2 linked regions of the Lonchura striata genome follow. The protein of the gene in region 1 purifies or fractionates together with the protein of each later gene. This does not show direct contact. Links are inferred from orthologs where the notes say so. Each region holds a gene or a part of one and is shown on either strand. Other genes may lie near its edges.

The links.
Region 2: the proteins of SATB1 (region 1) and TRIM47 purify together in Homo sapiens (affinity purification with mass spectrometry; 4 studies listed by BioGRID and IntAct, with this or other methods). This does not show direct contact. The link is inferred for Lonchura striata from reciprocal best matches to the Homo sapiens genes SATB1 and TRIM47.

What each region holds. Positions count from the first base shown.
Region 1 is NC_134603.1:120,688,861-120,695,889, reverse strand, and holds the start of SATB1 (DNA-binding protein SATB1), read right to left. Parts: upstream 3,096-7,029; 5' UTR 2,989-3,095; intron 1-2,988. UniProt on the Homo sapiens protein: Crucial silencing factor contributing to the initiation of X inactivation mediated by Xist RNA that occurs during embryogenesis and in lymphoma.
Region 2 is NC_134621.1:4,377,747-4,384,793, forward strand, and holds the start of TRIM47 (E3 ubiquitin-protein ligase TRIM47), read left to right. Parts: upstream 1-3,976; coding exon 3,977-4,693; intron 4,694-6,368; coding exon 6,369-6,464; intron 6,465-6,998; coding exon 6,999-7,047. Other genes in the region: E3 ubiquitin-protein ligase TRIM65, read left to right, coding at 87-258, 590-670, 1,773-2,293. UniProt on the Homo sapiens protein: E3 ubiquitin-protein ligase that mediates the ubiquitination and proteasomal degradation of CYLD.

The DNA.
Region 1 (7,029 bases):
TAAAATGTTCCAGATGTGTTTAAACTGTTGTAGAAGGAAAGTTTGTGGCTTCACTGGATATATATTAAATATATCTAGAGAGAGCAATGGCAGTTATATACAAGAAAGCAATAAAATGCTTCACTAGAGTCTATGTTAAAATACCATAGTTCCTAGAAATATGACTAAAACATTTCAGAAGTCATATTTCCTCCAGTTTTAATTCAGAAATCTACTTTAATGTATTTTTCTATATATTATGAACTATTTTATTAATAAAGTAATCTTCTTAATTTTCTTTTTATTTCAAATACAGCTGGAAACCTACGGAATTACTTCAAATTCCTCTGACAATATTTAGACTAAAAAAATAGGTGACATTAAAAAGGTAACAGTACTTTGAAAAACCAAGTAGTTGATACGTTTAAAAGATTTGGTGAGTTTTTTGTTGGTCTTTTTTTTTTAACAAGATCACCAGACTTCATCTGATTATCTTCTAAATGGCAGTTTCACACATGTAAAACCCTCTCTATCCCAAACCTGTAATGTGTGAGAAACATTTTCTTTAGAGAAACCTCTCTAAAGAGGTTTTCGTGCTGCAGGGGTGGATGTGCCCACGTCCCCAGCAGGGCTGAACGTGGTGGCTGGTGCCTGTGGGATGCTGGCAGGGCTGCAGGCAGGGCTGATGCTGCCTTGGGAAGCACAGCCACAGAGGGCAGGTGCTCATCCTCTCACCCGCTGGGCCTACGCTGCAAACCAAAGAGGTGCCCTGCTCGTGTACAAGCTGGGGCTGGCATGGCAGGCTCTCTCTGCTCCTGATACTGCCAAAGCACCGTGTCCCATCAGTGAGTTACAGAGCGACTCTGCTTCACACTGCTTTCTCGGGAGCACAGCAGCAGGTTAGGATTCACACGAGTCGCTAAAATAGCATGAGAGGGGAAACTGCGAGAGTTACTTTGCTATTTAAAGTATCAAGAACAAAGAATATAAAAAGGAAATGGCCAGTTTTTCAAAATTCATGCACAAAAAGCATTTCATTTAAGTATCTTTTTGTTCCAGTAAACTATTTTGCATACAAAGGACTTATTTATTACATATTTGAACTTGTGGGAAAAAGGGAAGGAATGCACTGATTCCTGAAATAACTCTACAGCCTTTTTGGAGGCTTTGCTTTTCTGTGCTCTTGTTCTACTCTGAACAGTTTTATTGCAGGGACAGAGGAATTCCTTGGAGTCAGTTGTTTCTTTTCCACTAGCTGTACTGAAGAGTGGGCATACATAGCATACTAGCCAAGGATTTTAATTTCTCTTCTATTGCCTTATTATGTGTGTGCGCTATCTGTTCTGACGCATGCTTATATGTGAACACGTTGCATTTTCTGCCTGCTCATTTTTTTACCTACTCTACGTTATTTCACATTTCCTTGCAAAACCATTGCTTCAACTTGAAAAGCAAGGTAATATCCATAACGATCTCAAATAGAAAGTGAATTAGAAAATTAGTGTGTGTATATGTATAAACATATTAAAGAGCATATAGGAGTACGGGACTGGAAAGAGCATTCTCAAATTCTACAAATACTGCTGAAAAGTAATTAGAAGATAGAAATTACAGAGAACATGCTATATTCATGTCTATACACTCTACGCATACAGTTTCGAGTTGTTTTTGAATAGTGCGCCTGATTTGACACATTTCTATCTGGTGATTGTGTTAAATGCTTGATAGTGAAATATCCAAGCATTCCTTGTGCTAACTACAGCTGAAATTTTACACTTATTGTAACCTTTCCTAACAATGTGAGAAAAACAGAGTAAATATATTAAATTTGTTTCATAACAGATGCTTAGGTTGTTAATATTTAAGATGCCTATTCATGCTATTCCTGTCTGCACATTTGTCAAAAATGTAAGCTTGAATGCTAATGTTTGCCAGCAGACTACAGCAGACAAATATATGAATGCGCTGTACCAAAATAATATAAAGTAGAAATAAGGGGCTGCTACTAACTCCCACCCAAGCAGCACGGACCAGAATGAAAGGGCACCTCCAGATCACACGTCTCTGCATCTGAATTTGTGAATTATTTTCACAGAATCGCTGCGCTCACTTGCACGGACTAAAACCAGAGGAGAGCTTTTCTCAGTTTAAACTCATTTCAGCTTAGGAGCTGGTGCAAAGTGTTTCAGAAAACTTAGATTGTAGCGAAGTTTCTCCCGCAGTCAGAAAAAGCTGGAGACTGGCAGAGGGAAACTCCGGGTCGGGCAGGTGCCTGTCAGGAGCGCTCCCCCCGGCAGCCGGCGGAGACGGCGACAAAGGGGCGAGGATTTAGCAAAACCTCGGGTGGCGGGTTCGGAGACGGAGTAGAAAAATCAAAAGTAAATCCTGGAGCACACAGACGAGCTGCTGGCGCTGCTCCCCGCGACAGCGGCAGCCCCGGGTCGTGCCGCGGGCGGGCGGGGGGGACTTGCCACCCGCCGCCACGGGCGCGCCCCCGGCTGGGGCAGCCGCGGCCGCTCGGCCGCCCGCGCAACCCCCGCGCCCTGCGGAAGCGCCACCCCGCGACCCCCCCGCCCCCCGCCCGCGACCCCCGGCCCCGCCGCTTCGCCCCGCGCCGTCGGGGGCGCCGCCGCCCCGCGCCCGCCGCTGCCGGGAGGCGCGCGAAGCTGGGTAAGAACTTTGCCAAACTTCTGGGGGTTTTTCCCTCTGCCCCCACCCCCGCTTCCCCCCGCTCCCCCCCGTGCCAGCGGCGGGTGAGGCGGCAGCGGGCAAGGGAGCGGAGCGGAGCGGGGCCGCCGACCGGCAGCGGCGCGGCGGCAGGTGTGAGCCCGCGCCGGCCGGGAGGCTCCGGCAGCGGCAGCGCCCGGCGCGGCCACCCGCCCCGCGCCTCCCGCCCGCCCGCCCTCCCGGGCCGGCACAGCCGGGTAAATCGCCGCGGCGGCTGCCCCCGGCACGGCTCTGTCCCCCCCGTCCCCGAGGAGAGACGCCGAAGGAGCGGGACCAACTCACTCATGGGAGCGCGGCGGGCGAGGCCGGCGACACCTCCGGCTTCCGAGGCGCCGGCGAAGTTAATTGCACTGAAGTTCAAGTTGTCTTTTCACCCATCAGGAGTGGGCGTTTAAAGGAAGGAGAGCGAGGAGGAGGAGGGGGAGGGGGGAGAGTCTCTCTCGCTCGCTCGCTCTCGCATACACACGCGCGCACACACACACACACACACACATACACAGAGGCACACGCATGCACGCACGCACACACACACACGCACACGCACCCGCCCGCTCGGCTCCGCTCCCGAGCTGCCTCAGCAAGGAGGAGCCCGGACGGAAAACACCAGGGCAGCAAGGTACCGGCGTGGGGCAGCCCTGCCTCTGCCTGCGCGTGTCTGTGCGGGTGTGCCTGCGCGTGTGTGTGTATATGTGTGTGAGCTGTGTGTGTGTGTGTGCCCGCGGTCCCCCCGCCTGCTGCCTCGTACGGCCCCTCCAGGCGGGGAGGTGCGCGCTGCCCCCGGGGAGGGGGCGGCGGTGCCGTCGGGGCAGCGCGGCCGCTGGGGGCCGGTCCGACTGGGGCCGGGGTCTCCGAGCCCTGCGCCGCCCGCTCTGTTCCGCGCCCGCTGCCTCCTGCCTGCGCGGCGGCGGTGGGAGGGGGGGAGAACCGAGCGGCGGCTGGAGCGCAGCGGTGGCGTGTGTCTGTGTGTGTGCGCGGCGGCTCCTTCCCTCCGGCGGCTCCCGGCCCCGGGGGGCGGTGGGGCTGACTTGGTGCAAGTGCCGGGGGATGGTGGTGTGCGTTTACTCGTGCCTGCCGCGTCCCCCTTCTCCCCGGAACTCGGGTCGAAACCCTCCACCGTCCCCGCATTGCCTTCCCCGGCACCGCGCCCCCGCCCCCTTCTTCCCCCTTCTCCATCCTTCCCCCGCTCCTTTATTTCCACAGCTGTCCCCGCGCCCTCTGGCCGCCCCCCGCCGCTACTCGCAGAGCCCCGGCGGCAGCCTCTTTCGGGCAGGCAGCGCTCCGCGGCTACCCGCGATTTGAGGTGGCTGATGGAGAAGCTCCGCTAGCGCGCTGGCGGTCTCCGCGGGCTGGGGATGCCCGGGTGCGGGCAGGCATCCCCCGGAGGCCTCTGCCTGCCGGCAGTCCCGCTGCCCCGTCGGGCCGGGAGCGGGGCCGAGTCCCGCATCACTGTGCTACGCCTGCCTGGTGTTTCACCTGGCACCACGTGCTCTGTAACGCTGTTAGAGAATTGCCTTTATTCATGAAACTTCTCCTAGGGGAAGTACTTTTCTCTCCTTTTTTTGTTTTTAAGACCTTCTTTCCCCTCTTCACTGATGTAGGATTGGAAGTGGAGCTACTGGAGAATGACCACTGAACGCATGTTTCCCTGAAAGCTGAGGCTGTTTCTTATTCCCAAGGAGACTGACAAGAGAGGGGACCCGGATGTCAGCCCAATCTCCGTTTTTTATTTGTCTCAACTTTGAGGCAGATTTTTGTCTTTCAGCTGTGGGAACTGACAGGTACAATTCCCATAGGCACCTTTCCATCAAACAAGACCAAGGCCAAGAAGTTGATTCGTCATTGCTTTTCCTAGTTAGCCAGCAGTATGTCATTCTATTAATTGCTATTAGTAAGTTAACCTTGTAGCTCAGTTATTGAATAATCATTAATCCATGGAGGATACACAAGCCCAAAGGTTAATAATAGGAATAGCAATTAATAATATTGACCTTGCCAGTGGGGAGAGTATTTTTGTCACAGTTATTAAAAGTCACTACTATTTATACTAGGTGCAATGGTGCGAATTTGGACTCAATATGTTGAATACCAAATTACTGCAACAACACCAGAAATTAATTCACCCTTTTATCTCCATGTTAACAGTCCTCTGACTTTTTCTCTATTTAAAACATATCATCCCCTACTTTCTCATTTTAAATAAAAATCCTAGGTCTTTAATAAATTCTAACATTTCCACTAGAAAATAACATCGAGCTCACTTACACAGATAAAAATTTATTTGCCTGCAGCTGATTTGTTGTAGTGCTTTGGATGTCTTCATTTCTCAGAGAGGACTTAGCTTTTTATTATCTTTTGATACCATGGGGTAATAAACAGGAGATCAGTACAAAGGGGACATTCTCTCTTTTATAGGTCCAACTCTCCACTCCCTGGAGTTGCCTCCTTGCAGAGCTACTCTGACTGACTGACTGACTAACCTACATCCTTCTACTGTCAAAGACCCATCTCCTTTATTTGTATCACATTTCTGACTGGCTGGTCAGTAAGCCCTAATAATAATCATGTTTCATGTCTCAGAAATCTAATAATCAAGTTACTCATTGCTACAAATTGCAGCTAAGCTATTTGGGTTAGTCACGTTATCCCCACTTTAAAGGCAGGGAAACTGAAACAGGAAAATTAACGCATTTGCCTGAGGCTACACATGGATTTAAGACCAGATCCAGAACTGTAACTGAATTTAGACCAAGATCCCTTTTAAAGATCCTCAAGTGCACTATTGAAAATCCTTCTTTAAAATAGAAATGTAGCATAAACCTTATTTTTCATCAACTTTGTATATTAGTCAAAACACACACACTTTTTTTTAGGTCACATTTTGTTTTTAACAGGTAAGGTTTATTCAGCTTTTTTTAAAAAAAGTGTGGTAATACTTTTCAGCTACATCAGGCAGTTTACTTTGGAAACAAATATTTAATACCAGACTGTTTGCAGTAATGGGAATAGAATTGCTTGTCATTGGGCTACTGTAAACAATATTAGCTAAATGTTATGGTATTGTTACAAAACAACAAACTATGATGGGAAGTCCAGCATTAGTATAGATAAGGTGCTCTTGCTTACCTAGTGTGCACTGGTTTTCAGCATAATGCTCCTTCAGTGCTTTCAGTATCAAAATACCTAATATGAGTCTAAACACCGAAATACATATGGGACAACCATATACTGTGTTTGAGAGTTACAATTTATGTCATTAAGCAGTGAGTTTTACCAAGTTGTGTCATTCATGTCACTGAAGCAACACATATACTGCCTGCTCTTTAGCTGTGGCATGTCATCAAAGCATGCCTAAAAGCCAGATGTACAATATAACTTTCCTATTACTGACATGTAGATATTTCCTCTTCCTCAATTCCCGCCCTAAATGTTTCCTTGCCCAGCCTTCTACATGCTCAGAAAGGAGCTATAGATGCTATAATGCTTAGAAAGGAACTATAGAAAGTCCTGTTCATCCTGCTCATCTCTGATGTCTGGAATTGTGCAGCTGAAAGCCTATACAGAATAAGTATACATTCTTTTTAAATTATTTTTTTATTTATGCTGACAGCTCCTTTCTGAGCATTTTTAGAGTCCTGATTTGAGGGAAGTGGGTGCAGATCTCATTCAAATAGTCATTCTCCAATACCATTAGCATTACCTGCCAAAAATGAAAGTGGCATATGAATCACAATAAGCCACTCATGAATTTGTGGATTTAGAACCTGCCAAGGAACAGCAGATACACACACGATTTCAAAGACCCATCAGTTTTAGGTACTTCCAGCAGTGCATATTTATCCAAAGACCATCCTATTGATGGCACATCTTATAAGGCCTACAGACATAACTGATTCCAGGGAAGGATAATACTGACTGAAAATATTTCTGTTCCAGTCTTTCTTTTACAAGTGAGGTAGTGAAAGTGACGAATCTGCTAATCATAACCATGTCAGAGGCCCTTCCTGAGGTGTCCCTTTTATTGAAGTGCCACTGTGACATAATGATCTGTTGGTTTTCTGTGAGAAGAGCTTTAAAATCCTCTGGGAAATATCACAGTTGCTTTCCAGTTCCTTTCAGACATGTAAATACCTTTATGTTTAGACATGAGTACAGAGGGGTGGAAAGTGAAGTTCAGCAAGGACTAGAGTGGGGTTAAAAGAATCCACATGGATCCAGTGACCAAATACATATATATGTGAGCTTTTTTCTGTATCTGATATTACCTGGGGCTTGAAATGAAATGTTCATTTCCAAGAAGGAAACGCTGTAGGAACGTGTGCCTAC
Region 2 (7,047 bases), on another chromosome or scaffold:
TGCCCACTGGGGAGATATGATGAGTGCAAATGGGTTTGCACAGTCCTCCCCAGACTGGTTCATGGTGTCTGTGTGTCTGTCTGCAGGAGTTCCCCCTGTTCCCACCTCTGGAGAGCCCAGAGGTGCTGGTCCCCGTGGAGTTTGATGTGGCTCCTGTGATCAAGCCCATCTCTGAGATCCTCACCAGCATCTCCAGGCTCCTGCTAGAGGACCTGCCTGCCTGTGTGGCCCCCAAAGCCCCCAACGCTGCTGACCAAGGTAACCCTCCTGCTCTCAGGGGTACTTTGAAAGGCTCTGAGTCATCCTGAAGATGAGCCTGGCCTGTGCCACTGCTGGGGACACAGCTGTTGGGCACAGGGGTTTAGGATGGGACACACATTTACTGGTCAGCAGATGAAGAGGGATGAGCAGGGTGGCTTCCCTGTGGCCCCTCCTTGCTGGGAATGCTGAACCATGGTGGCACATGCCTGCTCCCAGGTGTGGATACAGTGGAGTTCCTCCTCCTCCTTCTCCTTTTCTTCCCATGAAGCCAGGAAGAAAGAAGTTTTTGGGTGGCATTACTCAAGATGCCTGTTCCCATCCTCCACAGGCCCAGTGCATCCTCAGGAGCTGGTGGTGAAGGCTGTGGACCCTCTCCCCAAGTGCCAGCTCCGAGCTGAGCTTCTGAAAGGTAAGGAGCACAGAGGGCCTGGAGGGACAGCACCTCACTGGGGTCCCCAGCACAAAGAGATGTCACCAAGCCAGGCTCCTTCCTGGGAGGAGGGTGGTTGTGGCTACAGGGACAGGAGCACCATCCCTGGTTCTTCCAATGTGTCTCCCTAAATGCAGAGAAGGGTGGTCTGGGGGCAAGGTGGATGGGCTGGGATGGGAAAGGACCCATTAGGGGGATTAGGAGCACCAGGAATTGCTTTCCCATGGAACTGAGGCTGTCTGGTATTGGATCAGTCACTGCCCTGCATGGCACAGCCCCAGTCCAGAGCCATGCCTGCAGTCATTGCTCTCTGTCCAGGAGTATGGTCTCAGCATTCCTAGCTATAGTCCTTCATGTCCCCTTTCCTCCCCAGGCCAGCCATCCCCTGTTGTTAGGAAATTCCTCTGTGCTCCTCTTCCCACCTCCTCCCTGTTGGGAAGAGGTTTGGGTGATGTTCAGGCCATGTTGGTCATGTCACTCTTGCCAAGGAGTCAATTGCTGCCTGCAGGAATTCCTTCCATCAGGCCCCACAGAACATTCTTAGGGTTATTAATGAGAACCCCCTGTTATTTATGGGCAGCAGGCAGGAGCCCAGCCAGCTGCAAGGCCCAGGTGTTGGGGGAGAAAGGTGAGCTGCTGGTGGCCAGGGAATGCCCACAGCAGGAGCTATCACAGCCCATGCAGAGGAGAGTAATTCCCTGCACTACCATATTTGCTCACTTAACACCTGGTTTTCTCTCCCTCTCCCAACCCACACTGGTACTTTTTCCTCTTAAAATCAAGCACATCCCTGCCAAAATGGCCACAGAGCCACTGTGCTCACAATGTGAACTCACAGCTGTGAGCTGGGTTGTGTAAGAACTGCAAAACATTGTGTTTCAGTGCCTCAAAAGCTATTTCTGGGCTTTTCCATTCTCTTTAGGGCAGGTGTTGCATCCTCCCCACTACCCTTCCCCTCCAAACACCCTGTTCCCTTCCATCTCGGGGGCCAGCCCTACAGAATTTAAACCCCATCACTGCTGGGAGGGCATAAAGGTCTGATGAAGCATTTCAGCCCCATCTGTCCCCTTGCTTCCCCCAGACCACCGCAACCTGACCTTCGACCCCGAGACAGCCAACAAGTACCTGGAGCTGTCCAAAGGTGCCCGCAAAGCCAAGCACAGTCCTGGCACTGTCCCTGGGCAGGGGCAGGGCCCCCGCTTCGAGCCCTGGCAGGTGCTGTGCACGCAGAGCTACGGCCCCGGCCACCACTACTGGGAGGTGAAGATCTCCAGCCACTCTGTCATCCTGGGGGTCACCTACCGGGGGCTCCCCCAGGAGCAGCAGCAGGGCCACAGCTTCAACATCGGGCTGGATGGGGGCTCGTGGGGGCTGCAGGTGAGGGAGGATTGTTACCTGGCCTGGCACAAGGGCCACGCCCAGAAAATCCAGGAGCAGCTCTATAAGAACCTGGGGGTCAGCCTGGATTATGGCAAGGGGCTCCTCTCCTTCTACGGCCTCGGGGAGAGGACAAAACTCATCCACTCCTTCCACAGTGTCTTCACAGAGCCCCTGTACCCTGTGTTTTGGCTGTGTGAGGGGCGAGTGGTGACGCTGTGCTAGAGGCACTGAGCCAGAGCCATAGCAAAGCTGGCAGGTCCAGGCTGGTGCCAAAGTGGAGCTGCAGCTGAGGCTGTCCTGGTGCAGTGGGACCTCAGTGCTCAGGCAGGTGTGGAGTGCAGTGTTTTAACAAGAGCTGATGGGGACAGACATGTAAATTAACCTGTTTGATTTGCATATGCAAATATCACACTAGTGACATATAGCGGGGCTGGAGCTCACCATGGGTGCCTGTCCCTGCAGACAGAGCAAGGAAATAAGGGATAAGGAGGGTGAAAAAAAATGAGATTTTCCTCTTCTATCCCTGCCAAACTCCCAAACCTGGGGAAGGGAGGTACTGCTGCCATGGGGTGCTCTGAAACAATTTGGAGGGACCTCTGTGCTCACACAGCCTCACATGCAGGTAGGTCCTGCTCCCCCCAGCCCCTTCTTGGTTTTCTCTTGCTGTTTTCAGACCTGGCAGAGCAACTTCTCAGGGTTCTACACTGCAGGTCTTTGTACAATGCTGCTTTTCCCAATAAAGCTTTATTTTCTTACTGCTTTGACCTTGCTGCTGTTGGGAGATGTGGGACCCTGCAGCAGTGGGGGTGGGGGGGAGCTGACTACCACAGCCATCCCTGCAGGGCCCCATCCTGCCCCTCTGTGTCCCCATGGGTCCTATGAGTGACCAGCAGAGCCAGAAGGTGCTTTATTTACTGTAGCACTGTGATAAGGAAACCTGGTTTCCTACTGCTCTGCTCCAAGGTTGATTTGGCAGGGAGGAAAGTCCAAAGTTTTCATTGATGTTTTTCCAAGAGTGAGACTGCAGGTCCAACGTCTCCTCCCGCTTCTGTGGGAGTGCTGGTGAGGATTAACAGGGTGAAACTGGGCACTGGGTTCAAAAGTGCTGGGGGTATGAATACCTGGGGAATGAATCACATCATTGTTAAGTTTGGGGACAAAAAGCTTAAAAGGTTCAATCCCCTTCATCAAGAACATATTTTATTTGTCTTGTGCTTCCTGCTTCACTCAACACATCCCTGCTCTCGCAGCCCTGTCCTTGGGTGAGGCCTTGGGCCAGCATCCACCTGGGAACTTCTCCAACTCCAAAAATTGTCTGTGTATCCTGCACAGAAGGGGTCCAGAGATCTCACAAGGCAGATCTTCACTCTAAAAGCACTTTGGGGTCTCCCAGCCCTCTCTGGTGCCTGCCAGTTTCTGCCAGACCCCAGGGGAGAAGGGGACAGTGACTGAGCCAGGACCTGGGCACTGCAGCCCTTTTTGGCCATGGGGAGGGCTGATGTAGGTCCACGGACACGAGGGCTGGCAGGAAAGCACCTGCACCTGTGCACTGGGGGGGCTCAGGACCTTTCTTGTGGCCAGGTGGTGGGGAGCAGTGGAGCAGCAGCAGGTCCTAGAGAGGGAAGGAATGCTCAAGGGGAGCAGCAGGTCCTAGAGAGGGGGACTGGAATGGGCTGGCACAGCTTCCCCGGATGAGAGCAGATGCCATTTGGGGTGAGACCCTTTCCAGGACGCCGCGGTGGATGCTGTGGATCAGCGCTCCGAGCGCGCAGCAGCCCCGCAGGCACCGCGGCGAGCGGAGCCCGGCTGCGGTCGCGGGGAGGCGGAGCGGGCGGGCGGGGCGCGGCTGCCGCCCGCCCCCGCCGGGGCTGGGACCGGGGCCGGGGCCGGTCGGGGCGTTCAGGGATGGATGCTGCGCCCGGGAGCGCCCCGTCGTCCTCCGCCGCGGCGTTGCGGCTGGCGCTGGCGGCTCCGGGGCTGCCGGAGGGTCCGCTCGGCTGCCCCATCTGCCTGGACGTGCTGCGGGACCCGGTGACGGTGCCGTGCGGACACAACTTCTGCCAGGGCTGCTTGCAGGAGCTCCGCCAGCGGCCAGGCCCCCCCGACGGCGGCGGGGCGGGCGGGGCCGCCCGCTGCCCGCTGTGCCAGGAGCCCGTCCCCGCGGCCCTGCGGCTCTGCAAGAACCGCGCCCTGTGCGAGCTCCTGCCGCTGCTGGCGGCCGCCACCGGCGGCTCGTCCCCGTCGCCCTCGGCCGCCGCGTCTCCGACATCCCCGATGGCGCCGGGAGCCGAGGAGGAGGATGCTGCGGGCGAGGAAGGAGCGGTGGTGCTGTGCGATGTGTGCCCGCCGGAGTCCCGCGTGGCGGCCGAGCGGTCGTGCCTGGTGTGCCTGGCGTCCTTCTGCGGGGCGCACCTGGAGCCGCACCGGCGCGCCCCGGCTTTCCGCGCACACCGGCTGGTGGCCCCGCTGCGCCGGCTGGAGGAGGGGCTGTGCCCCCGCCACCTGCAGCCCCTCGACGGCTTCTGCCGCACCGAGCAGAGCTGTGTCTGCGCCCGCTGCCGCACCCACGAGCATCGCGCCCACGACGTGGTGCCCCTCGAGCAGGAGCGGGAGCACAAGCAGGTGCGCGGGGTGGCGAGGGGCGCGGAGGTGCCCACGCGGGTGCTGCGGGTGGGACGCTGGTGTGGGGGTGTCGTGGGTGCCATCCTGCACCCAGGTCCTCACGGGGAGCCCTGTCCCCACGTGGGGTGTGTGCAGGTGCAGCCCTGGTGGGATGCCATGTGGCGGGGGGGTGTTGTGCTCTCACCCCTCGGGGGATTCCACCCCAATATATGGACAGGGCGCTGCGCCATCAGGGAACCCCTGGGATTGGGGCAGGATGGGCAGGTGGGGATGGGTATCGGGGCAGGGGCGCTGCCAGGCATCCCGTGGGGAGTCTTCCCGCTGCGGAGCCGGACTGGCAATCCCGTGGGCGTAGGGCTGGGGCGAGGCTGCCTGGGACACCCCACAGCGGCCACCCCCGCGCTCCTGGGGCGGCCGCCGTCCCCGTCTCGTTCCCACAGCTCCGTCGGGCGCTTTTTCTGCCCGCGCTGGCAGCCGGCCCGGCCGCCGCTCCCGCTCCCCCAGCCTTTTGTATCCTGCCGTCTTGGCAGCGGGGGTTTTTCCATCACTCCCATTCCCAGATGTGACTGAGTCACCTCCTAAACTCACGCCCACGAGCCTTCCCAGGAGCCGGGGCTCCAGTCCCAACGTGGTGCCGCCTTCCTGGGCACTGCCGCCTTGAAAGTGTGGGGCCTCTGTGGGGCTGCAGGCAGATGGGAACCTGTGGAGCTCACGGTGTGGTGGCATCTCGCATGGCCATGAGGCATTTGGAGACCTTGGGAAAGTTTGCCTTTTCCAAGGAGGAGCCCAGCCCCAAGCAGCAGCCCCAAGCCAGCTCCCCCTCCTGACGGGCTGCAAAGATTGCAGGAAAACCCTTTTATCAGCACTATTAGTCATGAGGTGCCTTAAAATAGAAAGCGTGTGTAATCCCAGCCCCGAGGAGCTGTCAGACCTCGGCAGGCGCTGCTCAATGTCTCCTGCAGGACCTCTGTGACTGCCCCCGGCCACCGCTGCGGGCTGGGATGGGTGTCCAGGGAAAGCACCTGTAGCTGCTCCCCGGGAACAAGCGCTGCAGGGACCACGGCCGGGGGTTGAGCATCAGCAGGGAGCTGTCGTGGCTGGGGAGTGCCCTCCTGGCTCCCGAGGGACCCGTCCTCGTGATGGGCAATGGCTGAGCCAACAATAGCATCTCAGGAAACGCCGTGTTCCGAAGGTGCTTCCTTTGCAGCCCGCGCTGCGGAGCTGGTTTGCTTTGCTCCTAAACAGAAACCTCATGGGGACTCTGTGCTGAGTGTCTGGGTGCTCCAGGTTTGCCTTTCAGCTTCTGCACCAAACCCAGGTGGATTTTTCCCAGCCCTGGATACTTGCTAAGAGCACTGCTTAGCTGCAATCACTGCCTGATGGGTTTGCTTTCCAATTCCTGTTTTGTTTGGTTTCCGCTGGGGCCAGGGTGGGGAATATGGAGCTGGACATGACCCTTTCGTTTCCCAGCTGAGTGAGAAGGGATGTTTGCAGGTTGGATGTTGCAGGGAAGGAAAACAGGACAACAACTCATGGTTCCCCTTGCATCCTTCACCTGAATAGCAAGGTCTCTGTCAGAGAGGGTCTGTGGATTAAGCTTAAGGAGAGGCTGAATGCCCTGTGGCTCCCGTTGGGACTGGGGGTAAAGCTCAGTGTTTGTCCTTCATGTCTGCAGGCCCAACAAGCCAAATTCCTCAGCGATGCAGAGAATGAGCTGCAGGAGCTGGCAGTCACCATCACCCAGGCCAAGAAGATGGTGGAGCTCATTAAGGTGACTCTGCAGTGCCTTAGCTCTGGTAGTGCAGCTCTGCTGGGCTGGGGGTGGAGGAGAAGGGGCTGTGAGATTTTGGGGTGCGTGGGGTGTAAAGATGGTGCTCACAGGAGCACCATGAATTATGTGATCCTGGCAGAGATCCCTGAGGATTCTTTCTCCTCATCTCTGCTAACACTCCTGGCATCTCTGGTTGCTTTCATTTTTAACATGGAAGAAGGAACAGGGCAAGGGCCGTGCCAGGACATCCTCTGGCTCTTGCACCTTGTCTCCCCAGGCTCATGGGGGGGTTGTCCCCTTTGGCCCTTGTGCAAACACATCACTTTCCTGCTTGGGGACACCAAATGTGGTGCAGCAGGAAGTGGCAGTGTCCAGCCAGGTCTCTTGGCAGCTGCACTGTGAAGTGATCTGAGTTCTTGGGTGAAGAGGGTGATGGAGTGTCAGGGGGATTCCACGGAGCTGAGAACTGGGTGCTGGGCAGGGCACCTCCTGCACCCTCACCTTGGGACCTGACCCCTCTCTCCCCGCACTCAGGGTGCTGCCACAAAGGAGAGGGACAGGGTGGAGAAGCTCTTTGCAGAGG